Linked DNA regions of Macaca mulatta. The protein of the gene in region 1 binds, or shares a complex with, the protein of each later gene. Links are inferred from orthologs where the notes say so. Each region holds a gene or a part of one and is shown in the gene's direction. Other genes may lie near its edges.

Region 1 (4,631 bases):
AGGGTTTCACCGTGTTAGCCAGGATGGTCTTGATCTCCTGATCTTGCGATCTGCCCATCTCGGCCTCCCAAAGTACTGGGATTGCAGGTATGAGCCACCACGCCCGGCATGCATTCCTCTTAAAACAGGGAACAAGTCAAGGATGTTTAATGTTATCATTTTTATTTAACAGACTACTGGAAGTCTGCACAATAAGGAAGAAAAAGAAAAAGAAGCCAGCTTAGAAAGAAAAAAAAAAACGCCCCATTTGCAGATGAAATTATCTATGTAAAAAATTCCAAGGAATCTATACAAAACCCCCCTAAAATTAGTAAGGAAGTTCAGCAAGATGGCAGGTTACAAGATCCGCACACGAAACCAGTTATTCAGAATGCAGCACAGAGGGACAAAAAGATAGAAAATATAGACGGTAGGTTAAAAATAAAGGTTTCTTATGTTCGAGTTCCAGAAAGAGAGAGAATATGAGACAGGCATCTGAAGAAAAATGACTGCGATTTCCCAAAACTGGTGGAAGATACCAACCCACAGATTATAGAAATCCAAAGACTTCCAAGCAAGAAACAAAACAAAAAGAAAAAATATCCCACTTAGACTTATGATAGCGAAATTGCAGAAGAGTGAAAGATGGAGAGCTGAGGAGGGAGAAATCAACAGGGGCCAAGTGAAAACAACGTCTACACCTTGGACTTAACGATAAAAGCGAATTCGTACTTGCAGAGTCATTGGCACCTGCCAAACCCCTTACACACATTAGCTGATTTACTCCTCACAGCAACTGTATTAAGTAGATTCTATCACTGCTTTCATTTTACAGATGAGGGAGTTGAGATTTGGTTATTTACCCAAAGGGGCACACTTTATCGATGTAGCGATAGGATTTTGAACAAGGTAGTTCTCGCTCCAGTTTTGTGCCCTTAACCACTACACATACTTGTTTCTCCAAAGGGCAATGGGAAAATGGGAAGCCACTGAAAGGCTTTAAACAGGGGAGTGATAACATTTGTTTCTGGAAGATTCCGGCACCACTGTGGATAGTGGATTAAATGGGGCTAAAGGTGGAAATAAAGAAGCTGTTGGAATAACGTAGCCCCAAACAGGGAGGGCCTGAATGAACTAAGAAGGTGGCAAAAGGCGCAGGCACAAGCAAATGGATTCGCGAGCTCTTCCGGAGTCGAATCCACAGGGCTTGACCTGGTATCGCGTTTTACTCCGGGTGCAGAGTGAGGAAAACCGGGTTTCTGACGCAGGCAATTGCGGTGGATAGTGAAAGTCATTCACTGAAGTGGACTGAGGCGGGACGCACAGGAGACTCGGAGGCCTGAGGACGAGCTAGGCTTTGGACACGGTAGATTTGTGGCGTCTGTAAAGCCCGCGGCCAGCCGAGGGGCAGGAAACGGCGTAAAGGGCAGAGCAGAAGCCGACTCTCTGGACCTCTCCGAGAAGGATCGTCCAGAGTCCCGGCCGCAGAGCACCTCTGCGCGGCGCTGCACGCGTCTCCGGAAGCCGCGCGCGCAGGCGCAGTGCGGGGGGCGCCCCCTGGCGGCGCAGGGACCGCCCCCAACCTCGCGCCGCCGCCGCCCGCCTCAGCCCAACATGGCGATGCACAACAAGGCGGCGCCGCCGCAGATCCCGGACACCCGGCGGGAGCTGGCGGAGCTCGTGAAGCGGAAGCAGGAGTTGGCGGTGAGGGGCTAGGACCGGGGTTGCCCGGCATGGGGCTCCGCGCCCGCCCCGCCTCCAGGCCCCAAGCCCGGCTGCGCCAGGCCGTTCGTTACTCCGGGGGCGCGGCGCGGCGGGCTGTGTGCTCGGCGGCCTGAGGCCGGGTGCGCATTCTGCGGCCCGCCGGCGGTTCAGCTTCCCGGCTGTGCGAATCCGGAGCCGGGAGGGAGCTGGGAGCGCGGGAGGGGGAGGGGCAGCGGCAGCCGCAGGAGGGGGCGTGGAGGGAGGACGGTGCCGGGGCTCGGGACTCGGGGAGAGGGCGCTAGGAAGGGCGAGGCGGGCGAGTCCGTGATCTTTGCGGGGTGGGGGTGGGGTAGGAGGCTAGTGTGGGAGGGGGACCGAGTCACCCTGTCTGGACTTTGGAGGATGGTGGGGAGCGTGTTCTTTTTGGTACTAGTAGTAGATCCGTTGAATGGAGGCTTTTGATAGACAGGGTTGTGATGTGTTTGGGAATATCTAGAAGGTGACAGGCGAGGGAGAAGAACACATTCTGGAGAATTCGGAATTGTGACAGGCACCCAAGGCCCAATGCACCCTGGTGGCTAAGCTCTTCCTGCCCTCACGTCTCGGCTTGGGCACCCCGGAGGCCCCTCTCACCTGAAGCTGCCCTTCCAGGTTTCCATAGCAACTGGCAGCCCGGTGCCGGCGGCCTCTCTGAGCCTGCGGGGAGGGGAGCGAGTTGACGCTGAAAGGCTGCTCACCCTTCCCTCTCCTGGTAGCGATACCTTTTGTGCGTGGGAGTGGATATCGCACAAGTTCTGCGTTAGCCTGGGTTCTTGACTCCTGGTTTCCGTGAATCCTCTAAAGTATATGCAAAATTTCGCGTGTGTGTGTATTTTTCTGGGGACATGCTTTATACATTCAGAGGTCCATCACACCCAAAGGTCTAGACTGTCTTAGTCCTAAACGGCTGCTCCTCCCCATATCATCCATCTCTCCACAGGGTGATTTAGTGTGGACAAGCTTGCGTTTACAAATCTAATATCAGGATTTCATTTTGGTCAGACTTAAGTGTTTGCATTTAAAAGGCATTATTCATGTCCTTGTTTTTCATCTCTCAGGAAACACTGGCAAACTTGGAGCGACAGATCTATGCTTTTGAGGGAAGCTACCTGGAAGACACTCAGATGTATGGCAATATTATTCGTGGCTGGGATCGGTATCTGACCAACCAAAAGTGAGTGTCGAAAGCCTGTAGTGTTCCTATTGTGTTCCTATTGTGTGTGTTTGTAGGACTGTAGGCTCTTAGTAGCAAGTTTGCTAGAGGCAGTAGTAAAGTGGTGGTGTGGTCTGGACTTGAACTCTTGGACTCTGGCTCAGGCACTGCCTCACTGAATAATCTTAGACAAAGCTCACATCTGTAAAATAGCAAAAGTTGGGCCTTTGGCACAGGGTTGTGTGAGGCTTAAATACAGCATATAACAATATCTTTATACAACATCACTCTATTAAATTTTTTACACATTTTAATCAGTCGTGAGTTCTACCCTCACAGTATTTTTCTTTTCTTTTTTTCTTTTTCCTCCTGAGTAGCTGGGATTACAGGCGCATGCCACCATGGCTGGCTAATTTTTTTATTTTTAGTAGAGACGAGGTTTCTCCATGTTGGCCCAGCTGGTCTTGAACTCCTGACCTCAGGTGATCTGCTGCCTTGGCCTCCCAAAGTGCTGGGATTATAGGTGTGAGCCACCATGCCTGGCCACTTTTCTTTTTTCTAAGAGACAGGGTCTCATGCTGTTGTCCAGGCTGGAGTGCAGTAGCACAATCTTAGCTCACTGCAGCCTCAAACTCCCGGGCTGAAATGATCCTCCCACCTCAGCCTCTCAATTAGCTGGGACTACAGGCACACAATACTGCACCTGACTAATTAAAAACATTTTTTTTTTTTGTAGAAGTGGGGTCTCACTTTGTTGCCCAGGCAGGCCTGGAACTCCTGGTTTCAAGCAGTCCTCCTGCCTCAGGTTCTCAAAGTGTTGGAATTAAAGGGGTGAGCCACCACGCCCAACTGACCCTCACAATTTTTGCCATACCTGTGTGCCAGCTGTACCACTGCTTGCTTAGTAATATTTTTAAAAAATTTCTAAACTTTTGGATTATCTTCAAGTTATAGAAAAATGGGAAGAATAGTATATGAACACTTGATACTGTCCTACCTGTATTCAGATTGTTAATGTGTTGTGACATTTGCTTTCTCTTACTCTCTATAATATTAATATAAGCACACACCTATATTTACATTTCACGTTTTTAAATTGTGAAATAATTATAGATTCATAGGGAGTTGGCAGAATGGTCTTTTGTAGTCTTCATCTAGTTTTCCCCAATAGGTGTTTTTTTTTTTTTTTTTTTTTTTTTTTTTTGAGACGGAGTCTCACGCTGTTTCCCAGGCTGGAGTGCAGTGGCGCGATCTCGGCTCACTGCAAGCTCCGCCTCCCGGGTTCCCGCCATTCTCCTGCCTCAGCCTCCTGAGTAGCTGGGACTACAGGCACCCGCCACCGCGCCTGGCTAATTTTTTGTATTTTTAGTAGAGACGGGGTTTCACTGTGGTCTCGATCTCCTGACCTTGTGATCCGCCCGCCTCGGCCTCCCAAAGTGCTGGGATTACAGGCTTGAGCCACCGCGCCCGGCCAATAGGTGTGTTTTATATAACTCTAATACAGTATCAAAGCCAGGAAATTGACGTTGGTACAATGTATATATATAGTTCTATGTCACTTTATCTTGTGTGTAGATTCATGTGACCACAATCAAGTTACTTCAGGAACTATTCCATTACCACAAAGATCTTCCTCATGCCACTCCTTTGTAGTTATATCTCCCTGTCCCCCTACCTTTTTTTCCTACTTAACTGTTTGAAAGTTAGATGCAGATATACTGACACTTTGCACTTAAATGTGTCAATAATTATCTCC
Region 2 (3,903 bases), on another chromosome or scaffold:
CTGTTTTTGAATACCCATGAGTCTTCATGTGCAAGCTGCCTTTTTGAAAGATAGATGGCTTTCATGTGGAGAAACTTCAAGGATAGATGGCATACGCAGTAACAATTTTCGTCTTTTTCTGCTTAAATTCTTTTGGGATCAGAGTTGTGGTCCATGATATTTTGAGATGGTATATGGTTTTAAAAAAATATGATAGCTTTTCATGGAGACATTTAACAAAAGCTACTCTAAAGTTAAATGAGGTCTAGCACCAACGATTTTTTCACTACAGTGGACCTTTTTTTGTGATACTGATCTCCGAATGATCTTGGTTCATACTTAGTGCTAATACAGTAAGAATTAATTATCTTCATGTGTCTCACGTCTGTAATCCCAGCACTTTGGGAGGCCAAGGCGGGTGGATCACCTGAGGTCAGATGTTCAAGACCAGCCTGGCCAACATAGTGAAACCCCATCTCTACTAAAAATATAGAAGTTAGCTGGGCGTGGTGGTGGGTGCCTGTAGTCCCTGCTACTTGGGAGGCCAAGGCAGGAGAATCGCTTGAACCCAGGAGGTGGAAGTTACTGTGAGCTGAGATTGTGCCCTTGCCCTCCAGCCTGGGCAACGGGAGCCAATGAAATGGAAGCTCTTCATTTATTTAACAAAAGTCCCTTATTTGTACATTGTTCCATTTAAGTGTTCTAAATAAAGTGAAGTTGCCTGGGTGGGTGGGAGGATGGGAAATGCTTGTGGAATCCTTTCTTAGGTTTGAACTTGGTGTTTTCGGTGTCACAGCTTGTTTTATTTTCAATGTTAATGCAAACCCTCAGACCAAATGCTTCTGTGCTAATATCTGGATCTATGGTATTACAGAGGAATGCAGGCAGTAGTTCAGATGGAACCGAAGATTCCGATTTTTCTACAGATCTCGAGCACACAGATAGTTCAGAAAGTGATGGCACATCCCGACGATCTGCTCGAGTCACCCGCTCCTCAGCCAGGCTAAGCCAGAGTTCTCAAGGTAAAAATCTTCATTTTTCCTTACCACTCCTCACATCTGGCTGACTGGCCCATCACATTATTTTCCTAGTTAATGTGGAAACTGGTCCCTTGGCTTGGTGTAGATGACGGTGCACCAGATGATTGGTAAAATGTGGAGTGAATGCAGAGTTGTCAGGTCTTTAACAATGCTTCTGTTGGGGGCTGCTATCCAGTTTGTAGACCCAAAGGAACTGTGGATGGTATAATGGATAGAGACACATGTATGTCTTGAGTCATTTGTGTTTTTTTGTTTGTTTGTTTGTTTGTTTTTTTACATCGCCGTGTCTCCATCAGTAAAATGAAAATGTTATCCCTTCACTTTCTGTTTGAATGGTTTAGGCTTAGGGACTTGAAGTCCAGATGGTATCTGACTTATGGTGGTTTGATTTAATTATTATTATTTTTTTAACTTTACTGTGGTGCTAAAGCAATATGCATTCAGTAGAAACTTTTCGAATTTTGAATTTCAGTCCTTTCTTGGGCTAGTGATATGTGGCTGAAATATTTTCTTGTGATGCTGAATAGTGGCAATGAGCTATAACTCCCAGTCAGCGAGCCGTAACTCCCAGTTAGCCATTTGATCATGAGGGTAAACCAGTACTCTTCAGTGTACTGTCTTCAATAAATTACATGCAATATTCAACACTTTATTAAAAATAGGCTTTGTGTTAGATGATTGTGCACAATTGTAGGCTAATGTAAGTGATTTGAGCCTATTTAAAGTAGGCTAGGCTAAGCTATGATGCTCGGTAGGTTAGGTGTATAGTGCTTTTATTTTCTGGAGACAGGGTCTTGTGCTCTGTTGCACAGGTTGGAGTGCAGTGGTGTGATCTTGGCTCACTGCAACCTTGACCTCCTTGGCCCAAGTGATCCCCCCACCTCAGCCTCCTGAGTAGCTGGGACTACTTGGGAGATCTTATTATGTTGTCCAGGCTGGTCTCAAACTCCTGGACTCAAGCAGTCCTTCCACCTTGGCCTCCCAAAGTACTGGGGTTATAGATGTGAGCCATCATGTTCAGCCTGTTAATACTTTCAACTTATGATGGTTTTATTGGGACTTAACCCCATTATAAGTCAAGGAGCATCTGTAGTCTCTTGGACTTGTTATTGGCAGAGGCCCAGTACTTCTAAAACCATGTTTAATTCTGGAATGTAATCCAATACACACTTGATAAATATTAATAATTGTACCAAAATATCAGTGTGGAAATATAGAATTTTGCTTTGGTAATAAAGAATTGAGAATCTTGGGGTTGGAAGGTAGTTTGAAGTATCTCTAGTGCATTTAGGCATCTGGGGTTAAATTTGGAGGGTACCCTTGACCCCTCCTGGCTCTTCTCTGGTATTCCCTGAGGAGGAAAGAAGGTTGTAGCTAATATAGAGAGCTGATGATCAATAGGTGGTAATAGATTAGGGGAAAAAAGCTTTAACATGTTTTGAGCACTTCAACAGTGTTGCTTTGGTTACTTTTTTTTTCCCTGAGATGGAGTCTCGCTCTGTCGCCAGGCAGAGTGCAGTAACGTGATCTTGGCTCACTGCAACTTCTGCCTCCTGGGTTCAAGCAATTCTCCTGCCTCAACCTGCAAGTAGCTGGGACTATAGGCATGTGCCACCATGCCCAGCTAATTTTTGTATTTTTAGTAGAGGTGGGGTTTCACCATGTTGGCCAGGATAGTCTCAATCTCTTGACCTCGTGGTTTGCCTGCCTCGGCCTCCCAAAGTGCTAGGATTATAGGCGTGAGCCACCGTGCCCTGCCACTTTGGTCACTTTTATATCAGTATGTTGCACAACGAGAGAAAAACCATCAGTTTTTCAAGCAAGAAAGTGGGAATATCCTCTTTAACAACTGTTCTTAACTTTTTTTTTTTTTTTTTTTTTGAGACGAAGTCTTGCTCTGTCGCCCGGGCTGGAGTGCAGTGGCCGGATCTCAGCTCACTGCAAGCTCTGCCTCCCAGGTTTACGCCATTAACTTTATTTTTGAATTTAGGATTTCAGCTAAAGTATTGCTATTGTCTCTTGATTTCTTAAGCTTTAAATTTTTACCACAATGAGACTATGGATAAATAGCTACTATAACTCAAGCACTATGTTATGTCCTAGGAACCATGATAGAAAAATCATAGTTCCTGTCCTCAAGGATCTTACAGTTCAGTGCAAGATATAGATATGAAAATTGGTCATGGGAATATATTATGGCAAGGGCTGTGAGAGGGGTTTGCATAGAGTACTACAGAAGCCCAGAGGTGGGATAGCCAACTTAGGGCAGCACTCCCACAACGATGAAGTCTTTTTTGTTGTTGTCGAGACAGAGTCTCGCTGTGTTGCCCAGGCTGGAGTGCAGTGGCATGATCTTGGCTCACTGCAGCTTCCGCCTCTTGGGTTCAAGTAATTCTCCTGCACCAACCTCCCATGTAGCTGGGATTACAGGTGAGCGTCACCATACCTGGCTATATTTTGTATTTTTAGTAGAGACGGGGTTCGCCATGTTGTCCAGGCTCGTCTTGAACTCCTGATCTCAAGTGATCTGCCCACCTCGGCCTCCCAGAGTGCTGGGATTACAGGCGTGAGCTGCCGTGCCTGGCTGCACACTGACGTCTTAAAGGCTCTGATAGGAATTTACAAGTTGAAAGATGGGAATATGTTATTCTCGGCAGATGGAACAGCATATGCTAAGGAAAAGACATAATGTTCGTAGAAAGTATAATTGACCATGCCCTAGACACCTGAAAACTAAATATTCAAAACAGCTAGGAAATGCGTAAGCCCTGGGTCTTGACCTCATGACCACAGAGTTGCACAACTCTGGGGTACCATTTACAATGTCATCAATGTAAGGTGTTCCTCCCTAGAGCAAAATGTAGATCATATTGTGAAAGGAGGC
Region 3 (4,411 bases), on another chromosome or scaffold:
GTAGCCATTTTGTCCTACATGCCCCTAATTTTGAATTGATCTCTCAAACCTTCAGGATTGCTAGTCTTTGACCTCATACTACCGTGTATGGACAACTATTGACCTGAGGATGTCACTTTCTGCCCCAGCCACTCCCCAGTTCCTTTACCTGCTGCTTGTCCTCTAGGGAGGTAGAGATGACAGAGCAGTCTGACAGCAGGTTCTTGCGTACCACAGACCCCAAATCTGCAGCTGTGGACTCAAACATGGGAGAGACTACGACATCGTCATCGGACAGCAAGCCCGCTGGCGGAGAAAGGATCCCTTGCGACATGACGGCAGGGGCAGCCTAGGTCTAAAAAGAGACCAAAAAGTGGGCAGGGAGAAGAACCTTTAGGGACAGAAGGGGCCGCGAATTTTAGGTAATAAGTCCCTTGCCCCAGGACACCGGGTCCCGCTCCCTACTTCCTTTCCCCTCTAATTATCGGCAAAGGGGAAGGGAATGAGAGAAGTTCACTTAATGAACAATCGAGAGAAGTTTGAGGTTGCATTTCTGAAAGCGAACAGAAGTCCACAGAAATCTGGCTCCAAAAGCAAAAGGCCAGGCCTAAAGTAGGGCACCTCGCCCGCCGGTGCTGTGGAGGTGGTGTCAGGATCCCTCGGCTCCTTTTCTAACCTCAAGGACCACCGTGAGAACAGAGATGCAGCATTAAGAGAAAAACAGATGGCTGCAGTTCCGATTTCTTAAAGCCTATTCCGCGTGGGCAAGAGCTGGTAACCCGGGCTCCAGCACAGCCGCACACTCACCCGAAGACGTGCCACTTGCTCCTCCTCGGGTACCGGCTCACTCACACCTAGTCGCCGAACCTGGACTTTCGCAGCCGGAGAGCACAACTCCGCCCACGAGGTGCAGCTTTGTTACCGATACAATATTTTAAATTACGCGCTGCGTTCGTTCGGCCAATGAGATAGGGAAGTCTGCAGCTACCAATCCGCGTAAGGAAAAGGGGCGGGTCCGACTGGAATTCCAGTAGTTTGCATCCGCTTGACCTCTCAGATCTAATGTGGGTCCGGGTTACCAACTGTCGCGGGTTAGGAGTTATTTCGCTTGGGATTCTTCCAGCTTAACCCTTTTTCTTGAACCTTAGACATTTCTTACCTAAGAACCCTAAAGGAAATCTTGAGGCTTCAGCCGCCAACCCCTGTCCTTCCTTAGCAAAAATCTTAAAAGGATTGCACAAGATAACTGGTTTAGGGTGCTTGCTTTGTCTTAGGGGAAAAAACGACATTTCCCAGGAGGCACCGCGAACCAACGCCGGTACTCTACTTCCCAGAATTCCAGGGTTTCGGCCCTACCAGACCGTCTCTCCTCAGGGTTGGAGACTTCGGGGCCAAGATGGCGACGGGAACGGGCAGTGAGTATCTGAGCAGGTTTTGCGTGAAAGGCGTTTGTAGATCCGAGGCTAGGCACCATATTTTTGTTACACGCTTAGGGAGTGGGAGAAGTGGTTTGCTTGAGAGCTCAGGGTTTTCAGAGACCTGCGCTCCACAGCATCGTGAAGACCAACGTTTGGGGGCCCAGAAATCTGGGGTCTTGTTTCTCAGGGAGGGAGCGGAGGTGTGAGAGAAGGAGCTTAGTGAATCCTAGTGTGTTAGGAGCCCTTCGGGGTAACCGTAAAAGCACTCTAGAAACTTGGGCGTGCAGACGAAAAGATGTTATGAGCCAGACGGAGTAACCGGCACCTCAAAGAGCCATTCATTTTTTGTTCGACGTTTGTGAGGCAGTGGAAGTGGGGCCTTTTAACCATGAGCTTTTCTTGCCACTCAGGAAATTGCATCTCGGGGATTTCAGCCATTTTTCTTTTAGTGGACTGAAAAGGTCTTTTAGGCCCGACATTTGGAGTAGAGGATCTGAGAGAAGTAAACAAGTTTATGCTAAGAGGGAGGCGGGGTTGTAGGAGGGGCTGGCCGCTCGGGTTCCTGGGAAATAAGCCCTGAATGAGTTCAAACTGGAATAAAGTCCAGTGTTCTTAAAACTGGGCTTTTAGGGAGAACTGCCTAATCTGACATTCCCAATTTTTTAATAAAGCGGAGCTTCAAGCCGTGGCGTTTTAAGAAATAAAATGTTAATAATTCACATGCAACAAATTGGTACCACGGTCACTGGTGATACTTCACTTGGAGAGGTGAAAATCAAGATTTGGTGATAGTAGCTCACTTTGTCCTAACAAGTTGGAATATTTTGTATTAGGCTTTTAGTCCCCTTTTTGGGGATTTTGGAGCTTAGCACTACAGTCTCAGTGGTTGCTTCCAAGGCTTTTTTTTTTTTCGTTTCCCAGAACACAAGCTGCTGAGTACTGGCCCCACAGAGCCATGGTCCATCCGAGAGAAGCTGTGTTTAGCATCTTCTGTCATGAGAAGTGGAGATCAAAATTGGTAAGCTATCTAGGATGTCAGCTTTTCTGGGTCTTAGAAATTGTTAGATACTCTTTCACATTGATAGATTTCTGTAGTTAATCATATTAAGCTGTAAGTAGACTTTTTCTTCTTCCCTTTTTTTTTTTTTTTTTTTTTTGAGACAGTCTCCTTCTCTCGCCCAGGCTGGAATGCAGTGGTGCAGCCACGCCCAGCTAATTTTTTTAGTTTTTAGTAGAGACAGAGTTTCGCCATGTTGGCCAGGCTGGTCTCGAACTCCTGACCTCAGGTGATCCACTGGCCTCAGCCTCCCAAAGTGCTAGGATTACAGGCGTAAGCCACTGCGCCTGGCCATGCCTGGCTAATTTTGTATTTTTAGTAGAGACAAGGTTTCACCATGTTGGCCACGCTGGTCTCAATCACCTGACCTCATGATCTGCCCGCCTCGGCCTCCGAAAGTGCTGGGATTACAGGCGTGAGCCACTGCTGCCGGCCTTTTTTTTTTTTTTTGAGACAGGGTTGCACTTTGTGGCCCAGGCTGGAGTGCAGTGGTGTGATCTTGGCTCACTGCAACCTCCATGTCTGAGGCTCAAGTGATCCTCCCACCTCAGCCTCTTTAGTAGCTGGGACTACAGGTGCACACCACCATGCCCAGATAATTTTTTGTATTTTTTTGTAGAGATAGGGGTTTCATCATGTTTCCTAGGCTGGTCTTGAACTCCTGGGTTCAAGCGATCTGCCCACCTCAACCTCCCAACCTACTGGGATTACGGGTGTGAGCCACCAGGCCAGCTGTATTTTTTTTTTTAAACAGCTTTATTGAGATATAATTCACATACTATAAAATTAACTTACTTAAGATGTACAATATAATGGTTTTTAGTATATTCACAGTTGTGCAGCCATTACCACAATCTAATTTTAGAACATTTTCTTTATTTTTATTTTTTTTATTTTTTATTTTTTGAGGCTCTTGCTTTGTTGCCCAGGCTGGAGTGCAGTGGCGCAATCTTGGCTCACTGCAAGTTCCGCCTCCTGGGTTCATGCCATTCTCCTGCCTTAGCCTCTCGAATATCTGGGACTACAGGCGCCCGCCACCACGCTCAGCCTATTTTTTTTTATTTTTAGTAGAGACGGGCTTTCACCATGTCAGCCAGGGTGGTCTTGATCTCCTGACCTCGTGATCAGCCCACCTCGGCCTCCCAAAGTGCTGGGATTACAGGAGTGAGCCACCGCATCTGGCTGACATAACGCTTTTAAGGTTCATTCTTATATAGCAGGTATCAATACTTAATTCCTTTTTTAGCTGAATAATAATCTGTTATATGAATATACCAAATTTTGTTTATCCATCGCTTGATAGACAATTGGGTTGTTTCCACTTTTTGACCATTATGAATAATGCTGATGATACGCACATTTGTGTACAAGGTTGTGGACAATGTTTTTAATTCTCTTGAGTTTTTTATTCAAGGAGTGAAATTGCTGGGTTATGTAGTAACTCTATTATGTTCGCTTTTTTTTTTTTGCAGACAGGGTCTCACTGTCACCCAGGCTGGAGTGCAGTGGTGCAATCTTGGTTCACTGCAACCTCTGCCTCCTGGGCTCAAGTGATTCTCCGGCCTCAGCCTCCTGAGTAGCTGGGACTACAGGCACATGCCATCATCCCCGGCTCATTTTTGTATTTTTTGGTAGGGATGGGGTTTTGCCATGTTGCCCAGGCTGGACTTTTTTTTTTTTTTATTTAAATATTTATGTTTTTGTAGAGACGAGGTCCCACTATGTTCCCCAGGCTGGTCTCCAACTCCTGGCCTCAAGTGATCCTCCCAGTTTAGCCTCCTGAGTAGCTGGGACTACAGACCCTTGCCGTCATGCTTGGCTGAATTTTTGGGTTTTTTTGTCACTTGTTGCCCAGGCTGGTCTCGAACTCCTGGGCTCAAGTGATCCTCCCACCTTAGCCCTCGAAAGTGCTAGGATTATAGACGTGAGCCAACACTCCCAGCCTAGAACTGTCATC
Region 4 (3,903 bases), on another chromosome or scaffold:
GGGACAGTGGCCCTTCCCTGGCAGCCGCCGCCTCTTTTAATGTATTTTGCACGATCACTAGCTTTACTTTCAGCATTAAAAAAACACCTCGTGCTGAAAAAGTTGCTGAAAGTTGCCCCCTGCCGTATACACAATTTAGAGACTTGGGCCCGATGTCAGTGCTTGCAGTTTGCAAATGCCTCATGGACCAGGCACCCCTCTCTGCAGACCTCAGGCCCTGGGTTCCCCACGTTGGCTCCCACCTCAAGGCTGGCCTGGGCTTCAGAATGTTCTGGGCTGAGGTCCTTGCAGGGGTGCCGAGGGTGCGCGTCATGATGGACATTTCCCAGCTGGCCGGAAGAGCCTCACAGGGCGGGAGTTGGCAGGGCTGAGATGGAGAGATCTCAGAACCATAGCTGTCTTAGATTATTTTCTGGTGGCCCAGGTGGAGGCTGGGAGGGTCTGGGCAGCACAGGCCACCTCGAAGCTCCCCGGAGGTTCTGGGGACTCCAGGCAGTGGCCGCAGAGCCTCCCGGGCCATGTCTGTGGCCTGGTCTGGCCTCTGGGGTGACCCTGCACTGCTGTAGCTCCCGAACTGCCTTTCAGGCCCTGCGGCCATCGCGCCCCCACCAGGCCTCTCGCTGGGTGGCGTCTTGGTTGGTCTGGGTTTGTCCGTGCTGCCCACGTCTTCCTGGGGGCTGTCACATTTTCACGGGTGACACGCGGAACCTCTGTGTGTACTTGCGTCATATGTGCACTCACTGAATGCTTAGGAAAATTAAGAGGGGCATTTTATCATTCTTCTCTTCCTGAGAATTAAGGACTTGCCTTGTGTTTTAATCCCCTGCCTGGCCCCACTCCATGCAGTGGTGCTCATGGAGCTGGGGCTGTCATGGCTAGTGAGTGGCCTGTGCATGGCCTGGCTGTGTTGGGGCTGCAGGTGCCGGCACAGCTGCGGGTGCTCTGGTGCTGGGGCCCTCAGGCTGGCGTCACTGGGCAGTCTTGTGAAGGCTGCACTGGTCCTCGTCTCCCCCCAGGTGGCCATTGCTCGGCGGAGCAGTAACTACTCAAAGCCTCCCTACCCAGGCCCTGGGCCACGTCTGCTCACCCTGTACCTGGGGTCTGAAGTGCGCTGGGGGCCTGGCTGTGGGGTGTGGGTCGCCAGGCTGGTGGCTGCTGTCTGGAGACGGCTCACACGCGTTGGCAGACCCGTCCCTGGGCCTGTGGGCTGAACGCTGGCAGGGGTGCTGGGCTCCATCCGTCCACTGCTGATGCAAGCCGGGTGGGCTTCCCCTGCCTTCACCCACTCAGGTGGGAGTAGGGATGGAGTCCTTGCTCCTGAGGGGTCCTCAGGGGCCAGGACAGGACTTTAAACTCCTTCTTGAGACACCTTCAGGGCCTGAGTGTGCAGGGTCTGAGCCGCTCTGTGATAAGTGTGGGGAGGATGTGGAGCCCTGGGGCAGCTCAGCATGTGGCTCAAGGCCTTCTACTGTAGATTCTTGCGTTTATTTGTTCCCTTGCCAAAAATGAGTATGACACCCCCACCTGGCCGTATTTCCTGCCTTAAAATGACCGAGGTTAAAATGAGAAACACAGAGCTTCGTTTGGAGCTCACGGTACATTCCAGTCCAGCAGACACAGAGCGAGTGTCTGACTTGAGTCTGTGGAGGGCAGCACGGTGCCCTCCTAGTCTGCGCATTTCCTTCTGAGCTGTTCACCGAGGTTGATTTAGCCCCTCTGTTTCAGTCAGTCGTGCTCATTGAGAACAGACGGGAAGCGTTCGAATCAGGTGGAAAACCCCACAGTCCAGCCATTCCCTTTGAAACATGTCTCCCAGCCACTCAGGAGGCTGAGGCAGGAGGATCACTTGAGCCCAGGAGGTCGAGGTTGCAGTGAGCTGTGGAGTCCATTGCACTCCATCCTGGGTGACAGAGCAAGACATCGTTTCCAAAAAAAAATTCTACATTAATGCTTTATTTACAAATTTACACAGTTTCCTTTGGAAATAGATTTAAAAATTTTTAAGGATGAGGTAGGCAAGAAAATGGGGTTCTTTTTGGATAAAAAAAATTCACACAGCTGGGTGCGGTGGTTTACGCCTGTAATCCCAGCACTTTGGGAGGCTGAGACGGGCGGATCACGAGGTCAGGAGATGGAGGCCATCCTGGCTAACACGGTGAAACCCCGTCTCTACTAAAAATACAAAAAACTAGCCGGGCGTGGTGTCAGGCGTCTGTAGTCCCAGCTTCTCGGGAGGCTGAGGCAGGAGAGTGGCGTGAACCCGGGAGGCGGAGCTTGCAGTGAGCTGAGATCGCGGCACTACACTCCAGCCTGGGTGACATAGCGAGACTCCGTCTCAAAAAAAAAAAAAATTTACACACCGCTTCAGCTCTCACACCCAGAGGCTGCCCTGGCGGGAACATCGTCCCCCGTTGTGACTCCCGTGGGGGACCTCATGGGGGGGACCTTGGGCACATGTATTGTTTCCTGTTGACTGACATAAAGTCAGGCCTTTTTAGGGGGAAAAGACTGAGATATGCCTTATTTTTCAAATGTTGAGATGATGGAATTGTAGACTGTGTTTTGTGTAGCTGTGTATAATACTTGAATGCCAGTGATCGCAGCTTCATAGTGAGTGAGGCCGGAGACACTCAGACACGGCCATGGCCCCGGATTCTCTGTTTTAAAGTGTTTCGTCAGCATTTTTGACTTCATGTTAACACTTGTCTTTTGAACCAAGGTTTTTTCTTTTTAAAACCTGATTTCCTGTTCCCTGGAACTCTGCTCCTGTGAACACGATTTTGTGTCTTTGGTGACCCTTTCAGCCTGGTGAAGGGTCCGTCCCGATGCGGCGTGTGCCCACGTGGACAGGCCACCCCCGTGTTTGCACTCACAGGTTGCACATCTGCTCCTGTGGCAGGCTCACGGCATCCTTTCTTTGCCTTCACAGAGCCTGTTTAAAGACCTGGGCTTGTCAAGAGGAGCATCTTCACGGTGCTCAGCAAACTACTGTGGTCAGAGCTGACTGCAATTTGTTACATTGATTTCATTTAACGAGTAACTTTGGTGTTTGCTTACTGTAAGGACTGTACTCTGGGAGTGAAAAGGAAGATGCTGTCTTACCTGTCTGTGAAACGTTCCTTGTAAGATGTGTTCCAAGTGAAACCTAGTTGAGTCTTGCTTGGGCACGCCCTGGTTGCGCTGAGCTCAGGGCTGGCCTGCCTGTGTTCCAGGTCTCACCAACGGCTTTGGGGGTACGAGGAGCGAGCAGGAGCCAGGCGGCGGCCTGGGGAGGAAAGCCACACCCCGACGACGCTGCGCCTCCGAGTCCAGCATCTCCTCCAGCAACAGCCCGCTCTGCGACTCGAGGTGGGCACCGCGGCCCCGCACTTCCTGCCACGCAGCTCCCGAGCCACCCGCCCTGCCTGGCTGTCCTGGAGACCAGGACGTTCCAGCTCCCATCTTAGTGCCCTCTGAAAAATTCTGGCCTGGGATTCATGTGTGCTCTGCTCTTGTGGGTGGTTTCCCGTGCTGCATATTAATCTGCTTTGTAGAATTCAAGCAGAAGTAGGAAAAACACTACGTGAAATAGGAACGCAATTTTAGAAACTGCAATTAAGTTTATACTTGATCTTTTCCTCCCAGAATCTGGCAGTGAGCACAGCCCTGCCTGTCTCATTGGCCTCCTGAGTACCCCCTGCCACAGGCTCACTCCCTCCAGACCTGTGCACCCACAGGCCTGCCTGGCTGCAGGGGTGTCAGGCAGGACGCGTGGCCGGCTTGGTGGCGGGCAGCCCACGGGACGAAACCTGAGTGAGGCTGAAGCCAGGGGTGGGACACCTGACTCCCTCTGCTCTTCCTCCCGAAGCTTTAGTGTGCCCAAATGTGGGCGGGGCAAACCGGCTCTTGTGCGAAGGCACACGC
Region 5 (3,206 bases), on another chromosome or scaffold:
TAAACACATGAAAATAGAAACACACATAAATGAGGCCAAGTGCAGTAGCTCACTCCTGTAATCCCAACACTTTGGGAGGCTGAGGTGGGCAGATCACGAGGTCAAGAGAACGACGAGACCATCCCAGCCAACATGATGAAACCCCGTGTCTATTAAAAATAGAAAAAATTAGCTGGGCATAGTGACGTGCGCCTGTAGACCCAGCTACTTGGGAGGCTGAGGCAGGAGGATCGGTTGAACTCGGGAGGCGGAGGTTGCAGTGAGCCGAGGTCATGCCACTGCACTCCAGCCTCACAACAGAGCGAGACTCCGTCTTAAAAAACATAACAGAGGCCGGGCGCGGTGGCTGAAGCCTGTAATCCCAGCACTTTGGGAGGCCGAGATGGGCGGATCACGAGGTCGGGAGATCGAGACCATCCTGGCTAATACGGTGAAACCCCGTCTCTACTAAAAAAATACAAAAACTAGCCGGGCGAGGTGGTGGGCGCCTGTAGTCCCAGCTACTCGGGAGGCTGAGGCAGGAGAATGGCGTGAACCCGGGAGGCGGAGCTTGCAGTGAGCTGAGATCCGGCCACTGCACTCCAGCCTGGGCGACAGAGCGAGACTCCGTCTCAAAAAAAAAAAAAAAAAAAAAAAATAACAGAAACACACAAATGAAAACACACATAGACCCAGATTATATATATATTGATTGACGAAAATACTGTGAGTAAAGGCTCAAGAGAGCCTAACCCTGTATTCCACTAGGAGCAGTGGCTCAGGATCGGCTAATTGGAGTGTTCACGGTGACTCTCTAGAACCTCACTGCGGTGAATAAGGGGAACTGACTGTATACCCTGGTACCAGCCCTGGGCGGGCCCCGCTGCAACAGGGAACAAGACAGGTTCTGTCCCCTCCTTTGTGAAGCTTCATGTCGAGCACGGGAGTGGGACCTTGATCCAGTAATCCTCGAGGCAGAGAGCTAGCTTAAAGCAGCCCAGCTCTGCGGAAAGGTGTCCTTGGGGGACTGACAGTTGTGGAAGGCTGCGTCATCAGGGGGTGATGTCATCATGTGACAGGAGACACGAGCTAAAGGTTAAGTGGTGTTGGGCCCACTGAGTGGGTGGTGATGGGAGGTGGGAGTGTTTCCAGCAAAGGGAATGAAAAGGGAACATCCCCCTGACAGCCCCCTCTTTCTGCCTCTTCCTCAGAATCCGGGGCACCAGCTACCAGAGCCCCCACGGCATCCCCATAGACCTGCTGGACCGGCTGCTTATCGTCTCCACCACCCCCTACAGCGAGAAAGACACGAAGCAGATCCTCCGCATCCGGTGCGGGCAGGACCAGACCGTGCGCCTGGGAGGCGGGGCTGGGGTCTACCCTGTTTGACAAATGCCGACACTGAGGTCTGGCGGACTGGCATGGTGGCTGGGCCTGCAAGAGAGAGGGCTGATCTGGCACCCAGACAGTGGCCGCCGATCCGGGAGCAGGAGCCATGGTGGGAAAGGGAGGCGAGGTACCCGTGACCGGTGTGGGGGCCAGCGCCCTGGGCGTGGTCAGGAGGCCTAGGTTTTAGATCCAGCCCAGCCCCTGTCTCCGTGGCTCTTCTAGCCTCAGCATTCTATGGTTCTAAGATGCAGGCGCCACATATTCCCAGTGGGGAAGGACCAGAGGGTTGCTGTGGCCACTTCTGCTGCAGTCAGAGGCTGGGCCCTGGCTGAGCCACCCCCGTCCCCCACTGCTTGCAGGTGCGAGGAGGAAGATGTGGAGATGAGTGAGGACGCCTACACGGTGCTGACCCGCATCGGGCTGGAGACGTCACTGCGCTACGCCATCCAGCTCATCACGGCTGCAAGCCTGGTGTGCCGGAAACGCAAGGTCAGCCTGCCGAATTAGCCAGCAGGGCCAGATGGCGGCAGTGAGTGACGCACTACTTCAGGGGCTGCCAGGGTTCCAATTTCAACCTAGGATGTACATTTTCAGAGGCAGGGAATTTTCATCCCTCAAGTTGTCTTCTGTATCTCCCCGCCTGGCCTACAGTAGGTGCTCAGTAAATCTCTGTTGACTGTAAGTAGATGCTGTTAGGTCCACCTTACAGATAAAGAAACTGAGGAATGAAGAGGCTGGGCCCACAACCAGGAGATGGCCAGGCAGGTTTTGAACCCAGGCGATCTGGCCAGAATGCCCTCCCCTCACATGCCACCCTCTGCTGCCTAGAGCATGGAGGTGACATATGCTGGGGTCTGTGCCGTGAGCCTCACGGAGAGGGGCCCAACTCAGGACCCGCCCTCCCCCTCCAGGGTACAGAAGTGCAGGTGGATGACATCAAGCGGGTCTACTCACTCTTCCTGGACGAGTCCCGCTCCACGCAGTACATGAAGGAGTACCAGGACGCCTTCCTCTTCAATGAACTCAGTAAGAATCCCTACCCTGCACCTGCACTGCCAGAGCCAACCTCGGGGAGGAAGAGGGAGCTCGGCCTAGAAGGCTCAGGCCCTGCCCCCTGGGCCACACTGACCATGTGGCCTTCCTTCTCCCCACAGAAGGTGAGACCATGGACACCTCCTGAGCTGGATGTCATCCCCTGTCCCCACCCTGTTTTCTACCAGAGTTCTGACACTGTGACTTTGTATAAAATGGTTTGAAGCTGCACCCACTCTGTGTGTGGTTGCCCTGAGCCCACAGAAAGACACCTCCAGAGTGCGCACTGAGAAGCCTTTATTGCGGGAGGAACGGGGTGTCTGCTGGCTCCAGGAGTCAGGATGGACTTGGAGGGCTGGGGGGAGGGTCTTTAGAGGAAGAGGAGGCCTGGGAGTTGGGGGTGGTCACAAGTCAAAGGGTGGTCCTTGGGACCCCCGCAGTCAGAGGTGCTGCGGTGGCAGGGTCCACAACGACAGCTGAGAGCCACAGGGAAGGAGACCACGGGGTCCACGCCAGGCAGGCAGCCAGGGAGCTGGATGGAGTCGAAGCGCACCTCGCGGTAGGTGCACACCACCTGGGGCAGGGGCAGCAGGGCCGCCTGCAGCACCCGCATCTGGAGGATGTGTGGATAGGGGAGTGAGCATGTGCCTGGGGCCAGCGCCTCCGCTGACCTCCCAAGCTGCCTCCAAAGGTCCCAGACTCAGGAGTCCAGGAAGCCCTCTGTTCCCGCCTCCCACACCCCATTCCCCAGCCCCTGACCAGACAGGCAGACCGCCCTTCCTCCCCCGCTGCCTCTGTGACCCGGC
Region 6 (4,466 bases), on another chromosome or scaffold:
GGACAGTTTTGGTGGGATGGGGTTCAAAGAAGCCCTTGTCCCTTTTTACAGCTTAGTAATGGTGTCCAAGGGAGGGAATACAGTCATGGGTTCTTAGTTTCTGTATCTGGTTGGGCCAGTAAAGCCCCTTCCTCATCCCTCTTTTCTACTTATTACTAGAGACTGAAACTAAAAACCATGGCTTCAGGGTGCTAAAAGCCTAAACAAAACAAAACAAAACAACAGGAAAATAAGGCAGGTTGGACAAGCTTGCAAGTAGCAGCCGTGACAAGATGGTGTATATTCAACTGGAATAACGAAGATTTTTGTGGGTTTCTGTTGTCGAAGAAGGGGTTGTGTTAAAAAGACTGAAGGAGAAATGGAAGTCAGAAAAATGGAGAGGGGCCCGGAAATGGTAGGGTGTGGAACCCGGGCAGGGGAGGGCTTAGAAAAGCCATGGAGGCAGGCTGGGCACGGTGGCTTGCTCCTGTAATCCCAGCACTTTCCGAGGCCAAGCCGGGCGGATCACGACGTCAGGAGTTCCAGATCAGCCTGACAACATGGTGAAACCCGGTATCTACTAAAAATACAAAAATTAGCTGGGCGTGGTGGCACGTGCCTGTAATCCCAGCTACTCCGGAGGCTGAGGCAGGAGAATCGCTTGAACCTGGGAGGTGAAGGCTGCAGTGAGCCGAGATCAGGCCACTGCACTCCAGCCTGGGCGACAGAGCGAGACTCCATCTCCAAAAAAAAAAAAAAAAAAAAAAGAAAGAAAAGAAAAGAAAAATATATAATATTGAAGAAATCCGTTTGTTTAGTGTGTGTACATTCAATCATGGCTCAAAAAATTAGATGACAAAAAAGTACAAACAGGGCAGGTACGGAATGCAGAGGTTGGCATATTCACACTAGCCTTTTGCGGATAGCAGAGCTCCATTATCTCAAAAAGCCAAAGCCTGACTAGTGTTTCCCACGTCATCTTCCTCATTTCCGCAAGGCCGGGACTGGAGAAGAGGAGGTAGACCTGGGAGCCAACAAATGGCTATCAATCCCACCAAATAGACTAGGCAGTGGGCTTGCTAAACAACGAAGCTTCCAGAAGCGGACCCCACTTCCCATCCTCTTGTGGCCACATTGCTGATCCTAAAGCTTTTCTATGCAAAAACTAGCGGAATGCTATTGAATATAGGTTTTCGAGGCAGCCCTATTCTCTCCGGCTACTTCAACATCAATGGGGGCTTATTTGCCCAAAGGACGTCGCAACTGGGTTTTTCCCATTTTTTCATCGCTGGTGGTTCACCGCCCCGACTCTCCCCCATTGCCCGCTCTGCTTTAACCTCCCACGTAATCAATTCCCCGCTTTACCAACCCGCAGCAGCCCGGGGGATGGGGAGTGGCGGGGGGGTGGGGAGGAGTGGGGTAGGGTAGCCGGCCCCTCCCCCACCCAGCTGCGCCTCCACCAACTAGAAACTACCAGTCCCGGCGTGCCCCGGGGCGGCGCGGGCGCAGGGGCGCGGGCGCGGCGGGTTGTCATTGGCTGGAGCAGCGGCTGCGCGGGTCGCGCTGCTGTGAGGTCTGCGGGCGCTGGCAAATCCGGCCCAGGATGTAGAGCTGGCAGTGCCTGACGGCGCGTCTGACGCGGAGTTGGGTGGGGTAGAGAGTAGGGGGCGGTAGTCGGGGGTGGTGGGAGAAGGAGGAGGCGGCGAATCACTTATAAATGGCGCCGAAGCAGGACCCGAAGCCTAAATTCCAGGAGGGTGAGTGTGCGCCTTTGGGAAAAAGGCACCTAACGGCGCAGGAGATGGAGGCGGGCTCGAGGTGGTTGAGGTTTGAGGGCCGGGGGTGGCTCGGGGTGCACCCTGAGAAGGCGGCGGATAGTGCTTTGTGCGGGGAAAGCGCATTGCGGATGGCAATTCCGATGCGTCATTGTGAGCGCTTTGTGAAGCGAGAGTGCTACGCAGGCGTTAGAGTGGGAGAGGGAGCGTTTGGCGCGTGGCACACCCTCGTCAAGTGTTTGTTATTGTTCTGAGGAAGAGGGCGCGGAGAGAGCAGCCTATTGTAGGGAGGCGACCAAGGCGCCATGGCGGCGGTTAGGGGAAGTGATGTGGCGGCGGGGGGAGGGGCGGCGGTGGTTTCTGGCTGTCCTGCAGCGCGCCCGGCCGCTTGGGCAGCCACGACCGGCGGTTAGGTGCTCCCTGGAGCCCCGGGGTGGTCGCGTTCGGTGGAGACTCGGAGCTGCAGATGGGGGTGGGTTTGGCGCCACGGGGCGGGAGAACTGCGTTGTAAAATGGCCGTTGCAACATGGCGGCTTCATCATGGCCGCTGGCGTCTCTGCCCCGTATGCAGGCGCAGCTTCAGGGCAGATGCAGCGCCCCCTTCCACGAAGACCGCAAGGTTGCCGGGACCCTTCGCTTACCTCAGAGTGGTGGGTGGGGACAGAAAAAAAAAAAAAGGATCAGTGGGATGAGCGTTTTCCTCCGCTTTGTGTTGCCTGGAGGCCTCATTCTGCTCTTAGGCGCAGTGCCAAGATCCTATGGTAACGTTAGTGCGCTCTCGCTTTGCAGTTGCTCGTAAAAAGTAAATAAAAATGATCTGAATGCAGTGTTAACGCCGTTTGCCTTTGTAAGTCCCATTGTCTCGACGTCATTTTTTAAATGCAGTAATTGTTTGATTAGTTGCAGTGTTTAACAGTGACTTGAAAGTTGAGTTTATTTTTATTAATTGGTTTTCGATTGGCATGAGGTTTGGCTAGGGTTAGACTGCCAGTGGAAGGCAGCTCTTTAAATTTTCACAACGCTTCAATTTATGTATAATAAGGTGGAGGTCTAATAGCTAAAAAGGAAGTAAAATCCTGTAAAAGGAGGAACACTCTAATATTCGTTTTCATTGCTATGGAAATTTATGCTAGTTACCGTAAATACGGTGTTTCCATGCGTACTATTTTTGTTCTAGGGATTTTTAGACTTGCATTAAAATTCCTTTTAGAGACATAAATCTTAAACCGTAGTACTGCGTATCTTATGGGATATTTAAGGGAGTTTTAGGGGTATTTTGTTAACGAGTGACTTTTTTGTTTTTTTATATATATATATATATATATATTTTTTTTTTTTTTTTTTTTTTTTTTTTTGAGACGGAGTCTCGCTCTGTCGCCCTGGCTGGAGTGCAGTGGCCAGATCTCAGCTCACTGCAAGCTCCGCCTCCCGGGTTTACGCCATTCTCCTGCCTCAGCCTCCCAAGTAGCTGGGACTACAGGCGCCCGCCACCTCGCCCGGCTAGTTTTTTGTATTTTTAGTAGAGACGGGGTTTCACCATGTTAGCCAGGATGGTCTCGATCTCCTGACCTCGTGATCCACCCGTCTCGGCCTCCCAAAGTGCTGGGATTACAGGCTTGAGCCACCGCGCCCGGCCTGTTTATATTTTTGAGACAATGTCTCACTCTGTCACCTAGGCTGGAGGGCAGTTATGGTACTCGGCTCACCTCTGCCCCCCGGGCTAAAGCGAGCCTCCCAAGTAGCTCGGATCACTGACGCGCGCCGTCATGCCCGGCTGAGTTTTGTTCTGTTTTGTTTTTAGGGGTTTTTTCTTTCTTTGTGGGTTTTTTTTTTTTTTTTTTTTTTTTTTTGTATTTTTGGTAGGGACGGAGTTTCATGATGCCCAGGCTGGTCTTGAAGTCTTGGGCTCAAGCGATCCACCCGCCTTGGCCTCCCAAAGTGGGAGGATTACGGGCGTGAGCTATCGCGCTCAGCCGTGTGACTTTTAATACCCTTCTCCCACCTTGAGAATCTGTGACTCTACCTCCTATGGATTCATTATTTTACTAGACGTTTTAGAGCAGATATTCTTAGTGCATTCAGAGGGTCCGTGAAATTGAATGAGGAAGATGTGTTTTTTCTGTGTACCCAAGTTTAGTTTTCAGTTAACAGTGTAATTCCTCCCCCCAAACCCCGAAAAAAAACGCCGCATTAGTATTTTCAGATCTCAGCATTACAGTTGTGGAAGATGTTTTCAGTTATCAATCATTCTCGTTTCTTCAAAATTAGGGTAGTTGCTGGATGACTAGCCAAGTCTTTGTCCTGTAATGTCATAGAACGTGACATTTAAAATGTTTTGGTGTTTCGATACAGTCGGTTGCCTTTGTACTACTGTGTGTTTTATGTATTTATGAAATCATTCGGCTCGTAGGCTGTATCAGACTGTCAAGGCACAAAAAGTTAATCGCTTCTGTAGGAACAGCCTAAGGTTGGCTGTTTAAGGAAGCGCTTTAGTTCTAGAGGGTTGCTAGTTAAGAGGGGAATAGCAGCAGAGAATTCCTTGTGCCTTTTTTTTTTTTTTTTTGAGACGGAGTCTCGCTCTGTCGCCCAGGCTGGAGTGCAGTGGCCGGATCTCAGCTCACTGCAAGCTCCGCCTCCCGGGTTTATGCCATTCTCCTGCCTCAGCCTCCCGAGTAGCTGGGACTACAGGAGCCCGCCACCTCGCCCGGCTAG
Region 7 (3,903 bases), on another chromosome or scaffold:
GGCGCCTGTAGTTCCATCTACTTGGGAGGCTGAGGCAGGAGAATGGCATAAACCCTGGAGGCGGAGCTTGCAGCGAGCTGAGATCTGGCCACTGCACTCCAGCCTGGGCGACAGAGCGAGACTCCATCTCAAAAAAAAAAAAAAGACTGAAGAGCTCTAAAAAACAAGGGTAACAAAGAACATTTTTAAGGAATTGTTTTAATTTTGTGAACCAGATGATGTGTGTTACATTTCAAATGCATTCAGTATTTTTTACAGTATAATACGAAAATTTCTTGTAGACAAGAAATTCTTGTCATGAATTTCGAGCAGTTTTTTTTGTATGCTTTTAAGGTTTCAGAGAGTATGCAGTATCCTTTCAAACCTTGCATGAGAGTAGAAGTGGTTGACAAGAGGCATTTGTGTCGAACACGAGTAGCAGTGGTGGAAAGTGTAATTGGAGGAAGATTAAGACTAGTGTATGAAGAAAGCGAAGATAGAACAGATGACTTCTGGTGCCATATGCACAGCCCATTAATACATCATATCGGTTGGTCTCGAAGCATAGGTCATCGATTCAAAAGATCTGGTAAGCACCTGTCACAAGAACTCCTGTCAAAAGCATCATTGAGGCTGAATTATACTAGTTGGTTATTTTTCTCTGCAGAATTGCACAGATCAAAAATAGCATTCTAGTTTTTTGGGCTGCTTATTCTACCTTAATTAGTGAAGGTTCACACCATGTTAGTGTCCTAATAAATTTTTTTATATTCTTTCCACTTGTTCTCCAAAAGAATGAACTTTTGGTCACAACTACAGTTATTTCTTTCTTTTATTATTCAGCCTATTATTCAGCCCATTTGAAAGATCTAAAGATCCCTTTCCCTTTCCATTCAATTTTAATCAAAATAGCAAGATGAAATGTGGTTAGACTTAATACTAAGCACATGAAAACATGCTTCTAAAGTTGTAATTTTCTAACTAGGGAATTACATTAAAATTATGAGCATTAAAATTGGCTGAATATATTTAAAAGCATATATGCACATGTACCCTGAAGAGAGAAAAGACTATTAAAGAATATTCACCCCAAATGTAGAAGGCATGTCTTTTTGCCATGTTTTATAGTATGACATACCTTGTGAGTTTGAAGCCTTCAAAGAACGTGGTTTTTGGTCTTCTCACAAATGCTGACAGATTAGTGTGTAACTTTTCCTTGTAGATATTACAAAGAAACAGGATGGACATTTTGATACACCACCACATTTATTTGCTAAGGTAAGAAGTTTTTATAAGAACCCTCATTTGTAAATTAGGTTTGAAAGAGGGTTGTGGGTTTTTTCCTAAAATTACGGAAATCACAGTTACATGTGTTCACTTAAAAGAATTAAGACCTTGTAAATTCATAGGTGTCACAACTCTTTATTATAATTATTCTTAAATTCTATTTGTCTGAATTCTCTCTAAACTTTGATGGAAGTTTGAGTTATAATACTAGGTAGGTAGGAGAAGGCACCTGGTAAATCTTTTCACATTGGTAATATTTTAATTATTAAAATAACAACATTTGTAACAGTAGATGTGCTTTCATATAATTCTTTAGGTAAAAGAAGTAGACCAGAGTGGGGAATGGTTCAAGGAAGGAATGAAATTGGAAGCTATAGACCCATTAAATCTTTCTACAATATGTGTCGCAACCATTAGAAAGGTAAGATAATAGGTTTTAAAATATAGAAATGCAATTATAGGATTTGGGTGTAAGCTAATAGAAGGAGTCCCCAAGCATATTCATTTTGACATAAAATGTGTATGTGTGTGTATCTTCACTGGAGAGAAGGTTGCTAGGAATTTCAAAATAAGTTTGAATTCCTGATCTTTCTTATATAGTTTATTGTCAAGATTGTCATTTTGAGTCTGCTACATTTACTTGTGGAAGTATATCCTAATTTAGAGGGAAAATATTTATTTAAGTTACTTCTAGTCAAGGCTAGTCCAATTCAGAATTGTAACAAGGCCAAGTTTATCTTCAGTTTCCTGTGTTTCCTTTTTAGGCCCTTTTCTTCCTTTTGGTGGTAGTTTTTGCTTCTTTTCTCTTTTCCCCCTCATCTGAAACTGCTCGTACAAAAAGACCTAGAAGAGAGATTCTTGGGTTTTGTTTGTTTGTTCATTTTTTTGAGACACAATCTCTCTCTGTCACCTAGGCGGGAGTGCAGTAGTGTGATCACAGGCTCAAGTGACCTTCCCACCTCAGCCTTCAGAGTGGCTGGGATCACTGGTGTGTCCTTTCATGCCTGGCTAATTTTCTTATTTTTATTTTTGTAGGTACAGGGTCTCCCTAGGTTGCCCAGGCTGGTCTCAGACTCCTGGGCTCAGGCAATCCTCCTAAAGTTCTAGGATTATAGACATGAGCCACAGCGCCCAGCTTTTTTTTTTTTTTCTTTTTAAGACATGGTCTCACTCTGTCACCCAGGCTGGAGTGCAGTGGCATGATCTCAGCACACTGCAACCTCTGCCTCCCAGGCTCAAGTGATCCTCCTGCCTCAGCCCCCTGAGTAGCTGGGACTACAGGTGCTGGCTAATTTTTATATATTTTGTAGAGATGGGATTTCACCATATTGCCCAGGCTGGTCTCGAATTCCTGGACTCAAGTGACCCACCTGCCTCGGCCTCCCACAGTGCTGGGATTACAGGCATGAGCCACCACGCCTGGCCTTTCCTTTTTTTTTTTTTTTCCCTGAGATGGTGTCTCGCCCTGTCACCCAGGCTGTAGTGCAGTGGCGTGATCATAGCTCACCACAGCCTTGAGCTCAAGCAGTTCTCCCACTTCAGCTTCCTGAGCAGCTGGCACTACAGGCACAAGCCACCACACCCAGCCAGTTTTTTGTTGTTGTTGTTTTCTTTAGCAATAGGGTCTCACTGTATTGCCCAGGATAGTCTCAAACTCCGGAGCTCAAGCAGTTCTCCTGCCTCAGCTGAGTAGCTGGAATTACAGGCAGGGGCCACCTGCCTGGCTAACATTGGCGGTTTTTTAAGGCCCCAGGTGAATATCATGTACAGCCATGGTCTAGAACCACCTAAGGAAAATCTGCTTACATAAAGGTGTAACTTAAGTCATAATTTGCATTTCAACGGTTTAAAACCTTGAGCTAAAAGAAAAACAATTATGATGGCCTGGGCATGGTAGCTCACACCTGTAATCCCAGCACTTTGGGAGGCTGAGGCGAGCAGATCACAAGGTCAGGATATCAAGACCATCCTGTCTAATACGGTGAAACCCCATCTCTACTAAAAATACAAAAAATTAGCCAAGCGTGGTGGCGTGCGCCTGTAGTCCCAGCTACTTGGGAGGCTGAGGCAGGAGAATCACTTGAACCCAGGAGGTGGGGGTTGCAGTGAGCCGAGATGGCGCCACTGCACTCCAGCCTGGGCGACAGAGCGAGACTCCATCTCAGAAAAGGAAAAAGAAAAACAATTATGATGACTGCCATGTCACATGGTCAAACAGCTGGACAAGACTGGCTCCAAACCCTGTTCCTCCTCTTTTCCTGACTAGTGATCAGAATGACCCAGTAAGATTTAAAACAGGCCGAGGCAGGCAGATCACAAGGTCAGGAGTTCGAGACCAGCCTGGCCAATATGGTGAGACCCCATCTCTACTAAAAACACAAAAATTAGCTGGGCATGGTGGCAGGCGCCTGTAGTTCCAACTGCTCGGGAGGCTGAGGCAGAAGAATTGCTTGAACCCAGGAAGGGGAGGTTGCAGTGAGCTGAGATTGCACCACTGCATTCCATCCTAGGCAACAGAGCAAGACTGTCTCAAAAAAAAAAAAAAAAAATTTAAAACACTGATTCCTGAAACACCTTTATCATGTTAAAAAGGAAAAAAAAAAAAGGCCAGGCCAAGTGGCTCACACCTGTAATTCC

What was found.
Region 2: MEAF6 (region 1) and KAT7 share a complex: the UniProt entries of both Homo sapiens proteins name them as parts of the HBO1 complex. The link is inferred for Macaca mulatta from reciprocal best matches to the Homo sapiens genes MEAF6 and KAT7.
Region 3: MEAF6 (region 1) and BRD8 share a complex: the UniProt entries of both Homo sapiens proteins name them as parts of the nuA4 histone acetyltransferase complex. The link is inferred for Macaca mulatta from reciprocal best matches to the Homo sapiens genes MEAF6 and BRD8.
Region 4: MEAF6 (region 1) and BRD1 share a complex: the UniProt entries of both Homo sapiens proteins name them as parts of the MOZ/MORF complex. The link is inferred for Macaca mulatta from reciprocal best matches to the Homo sapiens genes MEAF6 and BRD1.
Region 5: MEAF6 (region 1) and RUVBL2 share a complex: the UniProt entries of both Homo sapiens proteins name them as parts of the nuA4 histone acetyltransferase complex. The link is inferred for Macaca mulatta from reciprocal best matches to the Homo sapiens genes MEAF6 and RUVBL2.
Region 6: MEAF6 (region 1) and MORF4L1 share a complex: the UniProt entries of both Homo sapiens proteins name them as parts of the nuA4 histone acetyltransferase complex. The link is inferred for Macaca mulatta from reciprocal best matches to the Homo sapiens genes MEAF6 and MORF4L1.
Region 7: MEAF6 (region 1) and MBTD1 share a complex: the UniProt entries of both Homo sapiens proteins name them as parts of the nuA4 histone acetyltransferase complex. The link is inferred for Macaca mulatta from reciprocal best matches to the Homo sapiens genes MEAF6 and MBTD1.

Annotation. Positions count from the first base shown.
Region 1 is NC_133406.1:203,283,962-203,288,592, forward strand, and holds the start of MEAF6 (chromatin modification-related protein MEAF6), read left to right. Parts: upstream 1-1,572; 5' UTR 1,573-1,593; coding exon 1,594-1,683; intron 1,684-2,780; coding exon 2,781-2,896; intron 2,897-4,631.
Region 2 is NC_133421.1:60,212,613-60,216,515, reverse strand, and holds part of KAT7 (histone acetyltransferase KAT7), read left to right. Parts: intron 1-853; coding exon 854-1,001; intron 1,002-3,903. UniProt on the Homo sapiens protein: Catalytic subunit of histone acetyltransferase HBO1 complexes, which specifically mediate acetylation of histone H3 at 'Lys-14' (H3K14ac), thereby regulating various processes, such as gene transcription, protein ubiquitination, immune regulation, stem cell pluripotent and self-renewal maintenance and embryonic development.
Region 3 is NC_133411.1:147,032,724-147,037,134, reverse strand, and holds the start of BRD8 (bromodomain-containing protein 8), read left to right. Parts: upstream 1-1,333; 5' UTR 1,334-1,375; coding exon 1,376-1,394; intron 1,395-2,318; coding exon 2,319-2,415; intron 2,416-4,411. Other genes in the region: kinesin-like protein KIF20A, read right to left, coding at 149-313. UniProt on the Homo sapiens protein: May act as a coactivator during transcriptional activation by hormone-activated nuclear receptors (NR). Isoform 2 stimulates transcriptional activation by AR/DHTR, ESR1/NR3A1, RXRA/NR2B1 and THRB/ERBA2.
Region 4 is NC_133415.1:1,665,477-1,669,379, forward strand, and holds part of BRD1 (bromodomain-containing protein 1), read left to right. Parts: intron 1-3,212; coding exon 3,213-3,348; intron 3,349-3,847; coding exon 3,848-3,903. UniProt on the Homo sapiens protein: Scaffold subunit of various histone acetyltransferase (HAT) complexes, such as the MOZ/MORF and HBO1 complexes, that acts as a regulator of hematopoiesis.
Region 5 is NC_133424.1:61,470,251-61,473,456, forward strand, and holds the end of RUVBL2 (ruvB-like 2), read left to right. Parts: intron 1-1,190; coding exon 1,191-1,310; coding exon of another isoform or gene 1,311-1,329; intron 1,330-1,701; coding exon of another isoform or gene 1,702-1,727; coding exon 1,728-1,857; intron 1,858-2,279; coding exon 2,280-2,394; intron 2,395-2,522; coding exon 2,523-2,548; 3' UTR 2,549-2,630; downstream 2,631-3,206. Other genes in the region: LHB (lutropin subunit beta), read right to left, coding at 2,771-3,013. UniProt on the Homo sapiens protein: Possesses single-stranded DNA-stimulated ATPase and ATP-dependent DNA helicase (5' to 3') activity; hexamerization is thought to be critical for ATP hydrolysis and adjacent subunits in the ring-like structure contribute to the ATPase activity.
Region 6 is NC_133412.1:57,080,482-57,084,947, forward strand, and holds the start of MORF4L1 (mortality factor 4-like protein 1), read left to right. Parts: upstream 1-1,616; 5' UTR 1,617-1,696; coding exon 1,697-1,736; exon of another isoform or gene 1,737-1,806; intron 1,807-1,888; exon of another isoform or gene 1,889-2,081; coding exon of another isoform or gene 2,082-2,373; intron 2,374-4,466. UniProt on the Homo sapiens protein: Component of the NuA4 histone acetyltransferase (HAT) complex which is involved in transcriptional activation of select genes principally by acetylation of nucleosomal histones H4 and H2A.
Region 7 is NC_133421.1:58,802,271-58,806,173, forward strand, and holds part of MBTD1 (MBT domain-containing protein 1), read left to right. Parts: intron 1-333; coding exon 334-568; intron 569-1,201; coding exon 1,202-1,257; intron 1,258-1,582; coding exon 1,583-1,687; intron 1,688-2,684; exon of another isoform or gene 2,685-2,927; intron 2,928-3,337; exon of another isoform or gene 3,338-3,650; intron 3,651-3,903. UniProt on the Homo sapiens protein: Chromatin reader component of the NuA4 histone acetyltransferase complex, a multiprotein complex involved in transcriptional activation of select genes principally by acetylation of nucleosomal histones H4 and H2A.